3 linked regions of the Canis lupus familiaris genome follow. The main gene of each other region encodes a partner of the protein of the gene in region 3 in a complex. Links are inferred from orthologs where the notes say so. Each region holds a gene or a part of one and is shown on either strand. Other genes may lie near its edges.

Evidence for each region. The genes of interacting proteins can lie anywhere in the genome.
Region 1: the proteins of CRHR1 (region 3) and UCN are in contact, whole or in part, in a cryo-EM structure (PDB 6PB0), measured with the Homo sapiens proteins. The link is inferred for Canis lupus familiaris from reciprocal best matches to the Homo sapiens genes CRHR1 and UCN. Residues at the interface, in NP_004373.2 of Homo sapiens: Leu106, Asn107, Glu109, Lys113, His117, Val120, Asn123, Trp169, Val172, Gln173, Ser177, Pro178, His181, Gln182, Thr192, Tyr195, Asn196, His199, Phe203, Phe260, Gly261, Lys262, Pro264, Tyr270, Tyr272, Gln273, Met276, Ile277, Tyr327, Phe330; in NP_003344.1 of Homo sapiens: Asn84, Pro85, Ser86, Leu87, Ser88, Ile89, Asp90, Leu91, Thr92, Phe93, His94, Leu95, Leu96, Arg97, Leu99, Leu100, Glu101, Leu102, Ala103, Arg104, Thr105, Gln106, Gln108, Arg109.
Region 2: the proteins of CRHR1 (region 3) and CRH are in contact, whole or in part, in a cryo-EM structure (PDB 6P9X), measured with the Homo sapiens proteins. The link is inferred for Canis lupus familiaris from reciprocal best matches to the Homo sapiens genes CRHR1 and CRH. Residues at the interface, in NP_004373.2 of Homo sapiens: Lys113, Tyr116, His117, Ala119, Val120, Asn123, Trp169, Val172, Gln173, Met176, Ser177, Pro178, His181, Thr192, Tyr195, Asn196, His199, Phe203, Phe260, Gly261, Lys262, Tyr267, Tyr272, Gln273, Met276, Ile277, Leu280, Tyr327, Phe330, Phe331; in NP_000747.1 of Homo sapiens: Glu156, Pro157, Pro158, Ile159, Ser160, Leu161, Asp162, Leu163, Thr164, Phe165, His166, Leu167, Leu168, Arg169, Glu170, Leu172, Met174, Arg176.

Annotation. Positions count from the first base shown.
Region 1 is NC_049238.1:21,343,469-21,347,681, forward strand, and holds UCN (urocortin), read right to left. Parts: upstream 2,322-4,213; 5' UTR 1,823-2,321; intron 1,557-1,822; 5' UTR 1,544-1,556; coding exon 1,163-1,543; 3' UTR 1,003-1,162; downstream 1-1,002. Other genes in the region: TRIM54 (tripartite motif-containing protein 54), read left to right, coding at 94-186, 489-505; protein Mpv17, read right to left, coding at 3,596-3,665. UniProt on the Homo sapiens protein: Acts in vitro to stimulate the secretion of adrenocorticotropic hormone (ACTH). Binds with high affinity to CRF receptor types 1, 2-alpha, and 2-beta. Plays a role in the establishment of normal hearing thresholds.
Region 2 is NC_049250.1:16,297,371-16,302,568, forward strand, and holds CRH (corticoliberin precursor), read right to left. Parts: upstream 3,303-5,198; 5' UTR 2,724-3,302; intron 1,967-2,723; 5' UTR 1,953-1,966; coding exon 1,362-1,952; 3' UTR 858-1,361; downstream 1-857. UniProt on the Homo sapiens protein: Hormone regulating the release of corticotropin from pituitary gland. Induces NLRP6 in intestinal epithelial cells, hence may influence gut microbiota profile.
Region 3 is NC_049230.1:17,145,483-17,150,240, reverse strand, and holds part of CRHR1 (corticotropin-releasing factor receptor 1), read right to left. Parts: exon of another isoform or gene 4,049-4,758; intron 3,091-4,048; exon of another isoform or gene 3,033-3,090; intron 2,575-3,032; exon of another isoform or gene 1,889-2,574; coding exon 1,782-1,888; exon of another isoform or gene 1,121-1,781; intron 1,035-1,120; coding exon 914-1,034; exon of another isoform or gene 907-913; intron 674-906; coding exon 520-673; intron 262-519; coding exon 201-261; intron 192-200; exon of another isoform or gene 1-191.

The DNA.
Region 1 (4,213 bases), on a different chromosome or scaffold from region 3:
GGGGACGGGGGACGGGGGACGGGGGGGGGGGGGGGGGGAGGTCGCGGCCAGAGAAGCAGGGACTCCACCTCACGGGGTCTTCCTGGGGGACAGGCGCTTCCGGGGAGGAAGAGGATGAGGAGGTGGCATTGGACGGGGAAGAGGGCAGCGCAGGGCCGGAGGAAGAGCGGCCGGATGGGCCGGAAGGTGAGTGTGGCCCGAGGGGCCTGGCGGGGCTGGCTCGACGCCCCGGGCCCCTCTGCAGTGAGGCCGCCCTGCGGCACCAGCGATCTTTGGTGGCCTCCCCACCCCCAGCGGGAGGGGCGCCCCCTAGCGCGCGTGCAGAAGTACACTCTCTTTCCCACCAGCCTTTCCTCTGGGGCTTTGGGAGACCAGGTTGGGTCGGGAGGTAGAGGAGAAAGCCACGTGGCTGGGGGAGAAGGGGCGAGCTGGGGTTCGGAGCTGCCTTGTTCCTCTGGAACGCCCGCCCACCGAGCTTTCTTTCCCAGGCACTGGCGGGCACTGAGCTGCTCCCTGTTGGGGAGCCCGCGCACCGGGGCCTGGCGCTGGGGTCGCGGAGGACCTGCTCAGAGACCGCTGCGCCACCCAGCTCGGCGCCCAGCCGCGGGGGAGGGGCTCAATAAAGGGCTAATGTGTTCAGACCCGCAGCTCCTTTCACTGCTCACTCTCAGTCTCGGCTTCCGAGTGACCCCATCACCATCCTGCCCTTCTCCGGATCCGGGCCCATTTGAGGGACGGAAGTGGAATGACCCCTGCGGGGCATCTCCTTGGTATCAAGCACGGTTTGGCGAGCTCAGTGCCAAGGGAAAAGGGTCGGGGTGGTGCGGCGGCACCAGCACCTGAGTTCTTGGGGGAACGATGGAGATGCGGACCCCGGGTGAAGGCCCTTCTGCCCGAGCCCTCGCGCCAGCATCTAGTTCCCCCCCGCCGGCCTGGGAGGTCGCACTTTCCCACGGGCTCCCACCCTGCTGTGGTTCCCTGCGCCCCACAACCGAGGCCAAAGGCTCTTCAGCACTTTTATTAAAAACTGGTGACGCACAGAGTGCTCAGGGCATCCCTGGGCCGCTCTAATCTGGCGGGACTGGGTCACTTCCAGTCGCGCACGTCCGGGCCCGGGGAGAGGGGACGGGGTCGAGGTTATCGCGGCTGCAGACGCCGCCGATCACTTGCCCACCGACTCGAATATGATGCGGTTCTGCTCGGCGCGCTCCCGCTGGCTCTGCGTCCGCGCCAGCTCCAGCAGGGTCCGCAGCAGGTGGAAAGTGAGATCAATGGACAGCGGAGGGTCGTCCCGCCTGGGCCGCTCGCCCGCGGTCCGGGATCCCCACCGGCCCGGCCCCGCGCGGCGCGGGAAGCGTTCGGCCAGCAGCAGGAGCAGCGCGCGGGCGCCGCCGTCCTGGTTCCGCGCCCCGGGGTTCCAGCGCAGACTTGGGTCCTGGACCCCGGCCGCCGCCGCCTCCCGGCTCCATTGGCTGCTCCCCGGGCGCAGCTGTGCCAGGAGCAGCAGCGCCATCAGCAGCGCCGCGCGTCCCCTCTGCTTCATGGTGCCGCCGGCCCTGGACAGACAGGGGGAGCGCGGGGTGAGGTGCGTCCCGGGCAGTCGCAAGTGGCGCCACTCCCCTTCCCACGCGCATCCAGCCCCGCGGCCGGGCCCCTGCGGCTGCCGCCTGGTGCCCACAGCCTTCCCTCCAGTCCCAGCTGCTGCCCCAGCCCGGTGCCACCCTGTCCTCCCTCTCTCCCTTGAGGCGGGCGAGTCGTGGTGGGAGAGCTGAGCGCCGTCCTGGTGCTTCAGGAGTCAGGCTGGATGCTCCCAGCTACTCACAGGTTGCCGGAGAGTGTCCTCACGCTGCAGGACGGGGCTCCAGTCTCCGGCCGTCGGGTGGGCTGAGGGCGCCTTGGGGAACACGGGGTCTGTCCCGGGACCGCCGCCAGCCTTATATAGCCCCAGGACAGCTCGGACTGACGTCAGCGAGGGACATGTACTGATTGTAGAAGCAGTGACGGCCGCAGCTTGGAGTCCGGCCGCTTGCTTGCAAGACCCAGAGGGGCGCACCTCACAACCCTCCACTCTGGGTCCTGCTGCCAGTGCTGCAAGCGCCCCTGCCTTCAGGGCGGGAGAAGCTGCTGGGGCATTACCATTGCTCTGGGAGCCATGAGAGTCCTTTACCTGCGTATGACAGCCAGTAGGGACTAGGGCCAGCCCCCTTATCAGACCAGTCAGGTGGCCGATGTTCTATGGCACACAGAAGAGAGGCTGGACCTCAGGGCTGTCGGTGGTGATCACTCTGCTCTTGGCCTCTAGAAGGGGCCAGAGGCATCGGGAGAAGGTTGTGCTGCTCAGGCCTAGTCCCTAGTCCTTAGTATCAGTTCTGCAAACTAAGGCAATCCGGAGCACAGCTGGCTCCCAGCTCCCACTCTGCTACCATCCCAGAGGCAGCAAGGCAGTGAGGCAGCCCACCTGCCAGGATTCTTGAGCTTATTCCAGCCCCATGGTCTAAATTCTAGGGTGGTCTGGCTGAGGCACCATTTATTTTAAAAAGAGCCTCTGGCCTCTGGGGGCTTTCAGACCACAAAAGGCAGGTCCATCTGCTTCTGAGTTTGCTGCAAAGTAGTGTTTTTACCAAGTTAGTTTTCTTCTGGGAATCACAGCAGTAGTATTACTGTACCTTTGACCTCCAGTTAAGATCACTTGGTAGGAAGTAAGGGAACCTTAGTCTCTTCATGCTGCTATACCAAAAATACAATCAACTCTGTATTTTATAAACATCATTTATTTCTCACAGTTCTAGAAGCTGGGAGGTCCAAGCCCATGGCACTGGTAGATGTGGTATTCACTAACTTTTCCTTCTTGGTGTGTCCTCACATGGTGGGAGGGGTGAGGGATCTGTCTGGGGCTGTTTTAAAAGGGCACGAATCCCTCATGACCTAATCACCTCCCAGAGGCCCCACTGCCTAATGCCATCACCCTGGGCATTAGGTTTGCAACAGATGAATTCTGGAGGGCATACAAACATTCATCTATAACATGTGTGTTCAAGTTTCCACTCTGCCACTGGTTGGTGGTGTGGACTTGCCATCTCACTTCTGTGGACCTCAGCATGCTCATCCGTGGGAGAACATTGGGATTGGTTGTCTCTAGACTTCTTTCTAGCTCTAGAAGTTCTAACTGCCCCCATAGATTTCTGCAAGTTTCAAACTATGTATTTAATAACAGATTTCCGGAGGCACCATATAAAGTGTTTAGGGCCCCAGAAGAGCCAGAGCTCCAGGTGGGCTGGGAAGGTTATAGAGAGCAGATGTGTCTGTGAAGTGTGGGGACAAGTGGCATTGCTGGGATACAGGTACAAACTACAGCTAACAAGACTGTACACAATTACAGAGTGCCTACTGTGTGGTGGGCATAAGACCATTATAAAGGTTGAAATTATTTCAAAAGGAGTCAGGTGCTAAGCCTGTTAAGTTCTGAGTGGCAACGGGACCCCAGGAAAGCCGATGGAGGGCCTTTCATTCTCCATGAGCACTTGGAGGAGGCCATCTGGCCACACTGGGGGTCATGCTGCAGCACGGCAGGCGCCGACACCGGAGTGAGGCCGGCCTAGAGCCGGTGTGCCTTCCATGACAGGTAGGAGTTCCAGATGACAGCAACACACTGGACGACAGCCAGCCTGCAGAACAGAGGTGGCATTGTCAGGGTGAAAGAGGAGGAAGAGCAAGCAAAGGGGCAGAGCTGGGAAAGGAGGGCTTGGTTTCTGAGCACGTCCACACTGAGGTCTCCTTCCTTCAGCCCCGAGGGACAGAGGGACGTGTGGCTCGGGCCAGAGGACAAGCAGGTCGGGGTCAGGTATCATCCCAGAGCTCTGTGTCCTGGACAAGAGCCTACAAGTGGAACACCCTCATGTCGCTGAGCATGGCTCTTATTTGGTCCTGACCAGGCTCCTGCTGCATACACATCTCTGTCCACCTTTGAACTGGCTGAGATTTTTATCTTCTAAAAATGTGCTGCCCGCCATATCCCTCTCTTGATTGTAAATTTTCCTCTCTCTACATTCAGAGTGTTGCAAGGACTCTGGTGTCGAGGATCTGGTCTACAAGTCTTCCTTTAAGCTATGCTATTCACATAATATTGACTTTGTTCCCTCTGAAGAGTGTCCCTGCTCCCAATGTCCCCTCACTCCCAACAATTTTAACTACTCCTCTTGAGTTGCACTGTATT
Region 2 (5,198 bases), on a different chromosome or scaffold from region 3:
ATGTGATCTTATTAATAGTCAAGTGTATTTAAAGGGTCCCAAGGGAAAAACATCTCCATACACCCAAATTAATTTGGGGGTATTAAACATTCAATTGAATTTTTGTAAGTTAACCCAACTATCAAAGATAAATGCATGGTAAAACTCATTGGATGTGCCTGTTCCATTTTAGAAATGCATGGAGATAGTTAATATTCTTAAGAATAACAGTGATTAGGATTCATATAGAAATAAATGAGAAGACCATTTGCAAAGTTATTAAAGTCAAATATTTTTTATGTTTAACATTTTCCCAAGTGCCATTTCATAGCAATTAAATTTGTTGCTTGAAGTGGGAAGCTATCAAGTTTCTCCTATTAAGAAGTAGGCACTGGAAAATAGCACAGAAAAAGTATATTTTACAGTACCAAAGTAGTAGCTTGATAAAGTGAGTCTTTCTCAAACCTAAAACAAAAACAAACAGTATGTTGGCCCTACAGTTTAGAGGAATGCTCTGCGAACCCCTCTCTTTGCCTTTCCTCTGTCCCCGCCCTCTCCAGTTATTTACCCTCTTATAATAATCAGGGTTAAGTGTTATTTCCATTATGAATTTATCTTCCATTCATAGAATTACCAAGTCTTAAAGCGGGAAGAAACTTCCCAAACTATTTAACTTAACCTCAGAGGAGTAACTGAGGTACAAAGATGAGTCCAAGGCAATTGAAGTATCTGTGTAAGCCACTTGCATATGTTTGTATTTTTAGTAGGAAATTAATGCAAGGAGTTTTGTTTTCTCTTGTGCTGAAGTCAGCATGTAGGAAGCCAGGAGCTGAGAGTTTTACTCCTATGAACATTAAAAAGGAAAAATAAGGTCATGATTACCTTTGCAGCTTTTATTAAAAATATAAATATTCAACATTGTCTTACACAACCAAATTGACCAAGGATTGGAAAGATGTTTTATTACTGGAACTTTTACAGGAAGGTTGATTCAAAGAGCTTACAGATTTTGTTTCACCCACCCAAGAGAATGACATTCTCTTTGGCTCAGACCACAACAAAATAAATCGGGTAACTTTTGTCTGCTTCAAAACATTTCCTTCTGGGTCTATACTTTTCAAACACCATTAAAGACACCTGGAAATGGAAACTGAAAGTAGACAATAGAAATAACATTTTGTTGCTGTTACTGCACGTGGATACACTTTGTGCATGCTAATTAAGGAGTATAGGCTCTCTTGCTGTACATCGTCTAGGCTTCAAGCTTTAAAAAAATAAACAAATGGTATCAGAGCAACGATATGGTACAGAATACTGTATTATTTTAATTTTTTTTGTGTGTGTGTGCTAAATGCTGCATCTTTTTGGCCAAACGCACCGTTTTATTTCCCAATAATCTCCATCAGTTTCCTGTTGCTGTGAGCTTGCTGCGCTAACTGCTCGGCCCTGGCCATTTCCAAGACTTCTCGGAGGAGGTGGAAGGTGAGATCCAGCGAGATGGGAGGTTCCTCGGATCGTCTCTCCCTCTCCGGGGTCTCTTGGCGGCTGCCGAGGGCGTTCTCCTCCCCGCGCTCGGCGGGACCAGCGGGGCTGTCGAGCTGGCGGCGGGGCAGCGGCAGCTGCTGCAGCAACGCGCGGAAAAAGTTGGCGGCCGCCTCGTCCGGCGAAAGGCGGCTGCCGCTGCCGCCAGCGACAGGTGAAGAGGCGGGCAGGAGGGGAGCAGCGGGGCTCTTGTTGAGGTTACCCAGGCGGAGGAAATACTCCTCCCCCATGCGGAGCAGGACGGGCCGAGCCTGCGGCTGTTGGGGCTGCTGGGGCTGCGGCGGCAGCTGGAAGAAATCCAGGGGCTGGGGGTGCTGCGCAGCCTGCCGGGCGCCCGGAATGGGCCCCCGGCTGAGCAGGGCCCTGCATGGTGGGCAGGGCAGGAGAGCCACCAGCAGGACGCCCGCGGACAGGAGCAGGGGCAGCCGCATGTTAAGGGCACTCGCTGCGGCACAGAGGTGGGCGGAGAGCGGAATGAGAGAAGGGAAGAGAGAAAGAAAGAGTTGGTCAGAGTTCAGCTCAAAAGGGAGGCGCGCTCGGGGTCTTCCTACAGGACGCGGGTGGACGCGCCTCGGGGTTCGGGCAGGCACTGTCCGCGGTGCTGAAGCTCTCGAACCAGGACGTCTAGAGTTGGAGTTGCCGTGGGGGCGGGGGGGGGGGGGGCAGGCAAGGGGACGCCTACAGCTTAGCACCAAAGCTCAGCCCCTCGCTAGGCTGGAGTGACCCTTCTTCCGAATCCTCGAAGGGTCTCTGGGTCCCCTTTCTAACGATCCCCAAAACGGATTCCCCGAGCTCTAGAGAAGATCTACACATTTTAGATCTCACCCACTGTAATAACCGCCCCTCTTTCCGGGTGTTTCGGCGTTGTCCTCCAAATTGAGAACTGCTGCCTCCTCCTCCCCTTTCTCCATCCCAGCCCTTTGTGTCCTTCTCTCAGGGGTCGGGATCGATGGCGGGGACTCATCTACAAAGCCAGCGAGGAGTAACTGACAGTTCCAATAACGATTAGCAGCCGTCTAAGTTTGCTTTTGACACATCCCGGCTACTACCGGCATCCTGAGGCACAGTCAGCAAACACACACATGCACACACACTCACACTCACACATATGCCCTCACAGGGACACCCGGCTCTGCCGCGCACACCATGGCAGCTCAGGCAACGCAAAGTTGGAGGCGCGGTTCCGTCTAGGCGCTCCCTACCTTCTGAGGTGCTTCTGCAGGTGAGTGGGGCGCTGCCGCCTCTCAGCAGAGGAACGTCTCCGGGGCTTTTTCAGGGGCTTTCTTCCCTTCTCCTTTCTGTCCTCACTTTTTTTCTTCCCCTCTTATCTTTCTCTTCAGTCTCTCAACGGACTTGGGCTCTGAGTTTCTCCACACCAGAGCCTGGAGTGGGATTTTATAGCGTCGACCCTCTTCAGAAACCACGCAGCATTTGCCTAATAAGCTGACGCTCTCTTGACAGCTCGATTGCGTGCTGCCTCTGCTCCTGCATAAATCATAGGGCCCTGCCAGAGAACGAGGGGCAGAGTTTTGCTATCTCAACACTGAATCTCACATCCAATTATATCAACAGATATTTATCGCCTCCTTGGTGACGTCAACGAGCCCTAAAATGGAAGGGCTTCTTATGACTTGTCCATTGACAAAAATTCTTGAATGAGATTTCCCAAATGTAAAAACATACTGACCTCTTACTAGGAAAGGTCAAATTTGGAGTCAGAAAGAGCATCAAATGAGAGGGGAGGGGGAAAGAAAGTGTAAGGGACAGGAGGTCAATTAATCCACAGTCCTATGAGGAAAGCAGCAACCAATTCTAAGGGCTGGATCTGGATTCTCCTCTTTCCTCTCCCTTCTAACTTCTCTGACCAGTTGTCTCTGGCAACACCTCAGTGTCTGAAAATATCCCTTTTCTAGAGACAAGTGTCCCATCACCTTTCTGCCTGGTTAAGAATGATGAACAAGGAGATAGAAGTGCAGGGATATCTAGTTTTTAAGCTTCTACCTGCTTTTTCTTCCCAAGAACAAATAAAAGAATTATTAGTCTACAGAAGCAAGACCAATAAGTCTCTTGAAATGAGGCTCAAGTTTTTTAAATGGTTGGCAGGAGCCTGCTTCCATGATGAAATGGCCCAAACCAGGGTCAGTTGGGAATGCAGGAAGATTTTAAATTCCCCCCCAAACTTCACTGCCCTTCCTTGGTCTCTCCTGTCAGAATCCAAAATTAATTGTGGATTTTTCTATTCCCAAATTAGAGAGAGAAAGGATAAGTGAGAGGTGCATGAGCTATACATCTTCATGGTCTACTTGATGGAAACACAGTGAGAGAAGCATCTATTCTAACTTATCCTATATTGGGAAAGGCTTAAACTGCCTGATAACAGTGCCAAATTCATCAGTTGCATATTTTCATTGATGAATATCAAGCCCATAAAAAGATAATCTCATTCATTTTACTCCTAAATACTATCAACATCCATTATAGTATCCACATCAGGGACACCCAGAGTTTTTTTTTTTTTATTGTTTCTTATCAGGAAACCTGATAAATACATAAATGCTCTCTGCATTACCACAAAATGGAATGCTAGGCTTGTAAACCAATACTCAAATTTCAAATTAAATTGACACTATCATATAAGTAGGAGGTAGTTACCTCTAATTTTGCGTTTCTAAATGCAATTCCAAACTCTGGTGTCTGTGATTTAATTCAGCTTCTAGATAACCATCAAAGCTGTTTATCAGAAATCTCCTATTGCTCATTTCTGGTTAGCTCTGCTGCTTCCTTTGTAGCTATATGATAAATGATACAACACACATTTCTACTCCTATTTTGGATCTATACTAATCCAAAACTGCTTTTAGAAACAAAAGGAAGGTAGAAAGAGAAATGCTGGCAGTTTCCAGAGAATCCACCCCATAGTTGGATCATTGTGCTATGGAATATACTTTGAGATGAAATGTACATAAGAGAACAAAGAAATGTGTCTTCTGGGAAACATGTAGGTTGTTAATAGAAGATCAAAATTATAGAAAATGGTTAAGCTTCTACAGGAAAGCAGTGTTTTATGTTGATAGGGGACACAGAGAAACTTGGAGGTTTTTGTGAGCTTTTTTTCCCCTTTGAATGGATCTTAACTTCCTCTGCTTACTTTCCTTTATCGCCCCTTCACTGTCCCAACTGGCAGAATCCAGTTAGATGTCAATCTGGAGGTGGAAGGAGATTTGGAAGACATTCAGGAAACTGGATACAGAAGAACAACTAGGAAAGGGATAAGACTGTAAGTTTAGCTGGGAAGGCATAAGAGTTTCTCCAGAGAAGATGAATATTTTGGACTCTAACCCTACACCCTTTCAGGTCTCTCTCCTGTGGGCCATGTGGAGTGTTGTTTTAGTCTACCTCCCTCATCACTGTTGAATTTTTGCTGTGAGATTTTCCTGGAGTATGTAGTTAGTTAGAAAAAGTGGCTCTGAATAGGGGTGAGGACAAAAGGCCTGGGTCCCAGAGGAAGAAGAACAGTGTACAGCAGCCCTTACCACGATTTATCTAAAAGTAAGATCTCTTCAAATCACTGAGCATTTACATTAGGAAAGTCTTAAATGGATCATTTGGTTTGAATGACAACCAGAGAGGAAAAGTGACTTACCTAGTTAATGGTAAAGTCAAAATTAGAATCCAGT
Region 3 (4,758 bases):
CCACCTGGCTAGCCAGCTCCACCTCAAGGACAGCACTGCTGGGGACACTCATCGAACCCAGCCCCCAGCACCCTTCCTATATGGACAAAGAAACTGTGGCCCCAACAGGGAAGGTGATGTGGCCCAAGGTCCTTAGGAAGCATCATGCAGAGCTGGGCTGAGAGCCTGTACCTCGGGGCTCAGGGGAGGAGGTGACTTACTTCTCATTGTCGTAGTACAGCTTCCCGATGGCCCAGGCCACGATGATGGGGAAAGGCACACCTGGGGAGAGACTGGCTGTCACAGAGCTCATGGGTGGGAGACACAAGGCCTGGAAGACCCTAGTGCAGCCCAGGGCCTAGAAGTGCGAAGGGGTTCTCCAGGGTAGAGCTCGAACTCACTCATCCGGCATGCTGCACTCCATCCCCAAGTCGGGGCAGACTGCAACTCTCACCCCACCACCCTGACCTGGCCCCGGGCTCTCAGGTCCCTTAGCCAGCTGGCCAGAGTCTGGGTGAGGAGGGGGCGCAGGGCACTCACCCCAGCCGATGCAGATGAACATCCACTTGCGCAGCCGGTCAGTGGAGTAGGTAAGCACAATGGCCGTGTGCAGGTAGCAGCCCTCCCCAAACATCCAGAAGAAGTTGGTCACGTGGAAGTAGTTGTAGGCAGCTGTCACCAACCTGCACCAGCCCTACCACCCCACCCCCACCAGAGATGACACTTAGACTGGGGATGGGGTATGACGGCAGCAGCACCCCACCCTGGGCCTGGGACCTCCTCTTAATAGGATTCCCCCCATTGTCCCCCTCATCCTGCAGGGAGCCACTCCCATTATACTGGGCCTCAAGGCCTGTGCCTGGCCCATTTTCACCAGGGCACAGTCCCACCCAGACCTTCCCTCTGACCCTGTGCCTGCCCCTCCAGGACACACCACATTGCTCTGGTGGACTTCGGGGCTCATGGTGAGCTGGACCACAAACCACGTGGCATTGCGCAGGATGAAGGCCGAGATAAGGTTCCAGTGGATGATGTTTCTCAGGCACCGGATACTCCTGGGAGGCAGCGGGGGAGGGTGGGAGGGTGATGGGAGCAAGGGAGGAAAGAAGAAATGAGGGACAGGCCACCAGCCTCACTCCAATCCAGATGTATGGATGGGGAAACTGAGGACCGGGCTGACTGGCTGAGTCACACTGGGAGGTGACAGCAGAAGCTCTCTTGATGCCCCACAGACCCCTTCCTACCTGAGACGCATCCAGACCTAAGGTCTGGGGCAGAGTCTGCTACATAGCAGATGCTCCAGGGACCAGGGGCTTCTGGCTTACTGGGGACCACCTCCTCCCATAGCACCCCTACTTTCCCTGTAGCTCTAGGGTCCAAAGACATAAAAGGTTTCCAGTGGGATGCCTCTCTCCCAGCGTTCAGGCCTGATACTCAGCTCCTGCTCCCACCCCCATTCCTGGCACAGACCTGCCTGGCACTGCTAGCTGCCTCCTTCCAACCCAAAGGCTCCCCCTTCCAGGCCTCCCAGATGGGTGCATCCATGCGTGGGTGGGGGTGGCACAAGGCAAGCCTGGGCTTCAGCCATCACTGGTCCCCCCAGTAGTTACTGGGCTGGGTGGGGGGCAGAAATGGCCCTGCCAGAGGTTCCAAGAGACCTGGAGCTCCTATGTCTGTCCCCCTCCCACAGAGGTGAGGGGGCAGGGGCCCGTCTTGCCAGCAGCCCCTCCCCCAGGGCTGCTTCCTGTGTCTCACTTTTCTACCCTGCTCAAGGCCAGAGGCCAACACTGAGTCTTTCTCACCTGAGCCGCAGAAAGAGGACAAAGGCCACCAGGAGGGCCACCAGGGAGATGCAGTGGCCCAGGTAGTTGATGATGACAGCGACATGGTAGTGTACCTTGCTCTTCTTCTGAAGTAGGGGAGAGGAACAGAGGTGAGGCTCCTATATAGCTGCACCCCTGCACCCGCTCGCCATGTAAGGACACCCCCCTCAGCTGGTGGAGATGGAGTTGGTACTAACGGTAGTTATTCCCCTTCCCGAACCCGGGCTGGGTGTCGAGCATGGCCCTGGAGTGGGGCTGTCCAACTTGAGCCTGTGTCTGTCTCTGAATCCCATGCTCTGCCCATTGCTCCATGCGGTTGGACAAATACCAGCTAACTCGGGTCTCCACGTCCCACGGGGTTCCCTACTCCACGTGCACAAAGGTGTGTGCACGCTTCTTACATGCAAGTTTCTGCTCTGCCCAAATACCACATGGCCCTCGTGACCGCGGACACCAACCCTTTAGGACTCTTTTCCTCACTCACTTCCGAGTGGAACCACTAGGGATGATTACCCCCAAATCCCTCCTGCTGCAGTGGGAGCCTGCTCCTATCAGCCATGGGAGGGATGGCAGGTGCACCCACAGAGCCATTACAGGCCATAAAAAAAAAATCTCTCTTCGCTCTGTAACTCACTTTCCAGGCCCTGCCCCCTGGCCCTGGGGAAGAAATGGGCTCCCTTCCCAGGATTGTATCAAAGTCCCCGATGTTACCACTGCCTTCATTTCATAGACTAAAGGAAGCTGAGAGATGTGGTGGTCTCCTGTTTCCAAGGTAAGCTCCATAAAATGATGAAGCCTTTCCATGTACAGGGTATTTTCATACTGGTGGTCTTCTCAACCTGTCAAGGCCACCATGTAGGAGGACCTGGAAGAGGGTCTATACCTTATTTTGCAGAAAACCAGGCACAAAAGTATGTTGACTCATTCAAGGTCCCTCAAACTCAAACCACCTCTGGACCAGCACAGGCAGACCGGCAAGGTGTCTCCTACCCCATAATGGGGGACCGATGGTCCCCAGTGCCCAGCTCTATGCAGACTCCTGTCCTCCAGTATCAAAGCCTCCCTCCACCCTATCCTAGGTCCCGAGAGGGCAGGGCCCAGGGACCCAGGGTCTGGCACAGCAGAGCTCCGTAACTGTGTGTTGTGTGAAGGAAGCAAAAAGCAACCTGCTTTGCAAAGGGGGTGTGTACGGGGGTCCTTGTTAGCACCTCCTCCCCTTATTCTTTCCAGGTTCTGGAGTGGGGCCAGGCCATGAGTCACACAGAAACTGGCTAGTGTTGAGAAAAGGGTAAGTTCTTGAAGGCCTTGTTCAAACTTTCAGAGATACCAAAGAATGCCTGGCTCTCCCTAGACCTTCCTGTCAGAATTCCAGAATCTGTGGATGTCAGAGCTGGTCCTAAGCATCGAGTCCAATCCTACTCTTCTTCTAGATGAGGAAACTGAGGCCCCAACTCACTCACCCAAGATCAAAAGATGTACCTCTGCAGCAGGACACCTAGCAGGCATCGGAGAGGAGTCCAAGCCCTCCCTTCCCCGCTCTTCCGAGTGCCCAGCACAGGGCCCTCCTGCAGGCACATCCTCACTGAAGAACCTCCGAGGTTCTGGAAGGCCCAGGGAGCTCTGTTCTAAGGGGCTGATTTTCCTGGCAGAGGCTTTCAGGAACGTGGCAGGAAATCACATTAGCAACTCTGCGCTCAGAAGGGTTGAGACTCACTGAGGTGTAAATGAAGACAGAGAAGCAGGGGAGAGAGAGGGAGAGAGAGAGGGAGGGAGGGGAGCAGAGGGTACCCATCGCCACCGTGCAGATGGGAAGGGTCTCGGAGTGCCTGGCAGTAGATGCCAAATCCAAAGACTCCAGGAGATATGAACACATCCAGCCTGTCTGGGAGCTGCTACTTAATTTCCTTTCATTAGATTTCCCACAAATCCATGCTGTGGAGCTCCTGAGTAATAACGATGCCTGGGAGCTAAAGGGCGTGACGCCCCAGCTTTGTCTGCAGGCCCAGGTGGGCAAGACGAGCGGGGTGTGTGGGGAACCCCTTCACCACCACGTGCCATCAGCTACCCCCTGCCCGCCGCGACCCTGCTGCAGGCTGAGCCTGGGTCATTGGGTTTGAGGCAGGATGAGTGGGGTTTATTAAGCACCTACTGTATGCTGGGCACTGTGCCGGGTGCTTTATAGATGCTACAGCTTTCCTTTCTCACAATAGCCCTCAGAGACTGTCCTTCTGTCTCTGTTTTTCCAGTTGAAGAGGCTGCATAATTAGCCCGAGCTGCCCGGCCAGCAATGGGAATCCAGGTCTGCTTGGCCTTCTAGATCCCCTCCTCCCCAGTGCATTTCTAGGAGACAAACGGGCTGAGAACAGGCACTCTCACTGTCTGGGGCCCAGGATCCTCAGAGGGCTTCTGCAGGGAGGATGGGGGCTGGTGAAGGGTTTTCTCCACCAAGGCTGAAAGGGGAGAACTGGGCCAAAGCATTCAGGGGGCTGCTTCTGTGTGACTCCTCCAGCTGGAAGGCCCTGGCTGGTCGGAGCCCTGGGGCAGTCTGAGAGATGGCAACCAGCCACAGTGTTACAGTGCAGAGAGCCCAAGACAGCATGGTCACCCCAGGAGACAGCCAGCTACACTCAGGAGATAGCCTGACACCCTTCGAGACGGTCAGCAATAGCCTGAGATGTGGCCAATGACACCCAGAGAGAGCAGCCAGCAATATCCTAAGAGGCACCCAGTGATACTCCAAGAGACCCTACTGATGGCCTCCATTAATGGCAGAAGCAGCTGGGACAGCTGAAGGACAAATGGACAGCGCCAGCCCCTGGGAACCTGACCAGCACTCTGTCCCTGTTCAGCTTGGAGACCTAGTGCCCGCTGGTAGCCTGAGGAAGGTGTCATGGTGTGACACTGGGCACAGGCCACTCCACTGTGCTCTTCAATGGCCAGAATCCAATAAGAAATT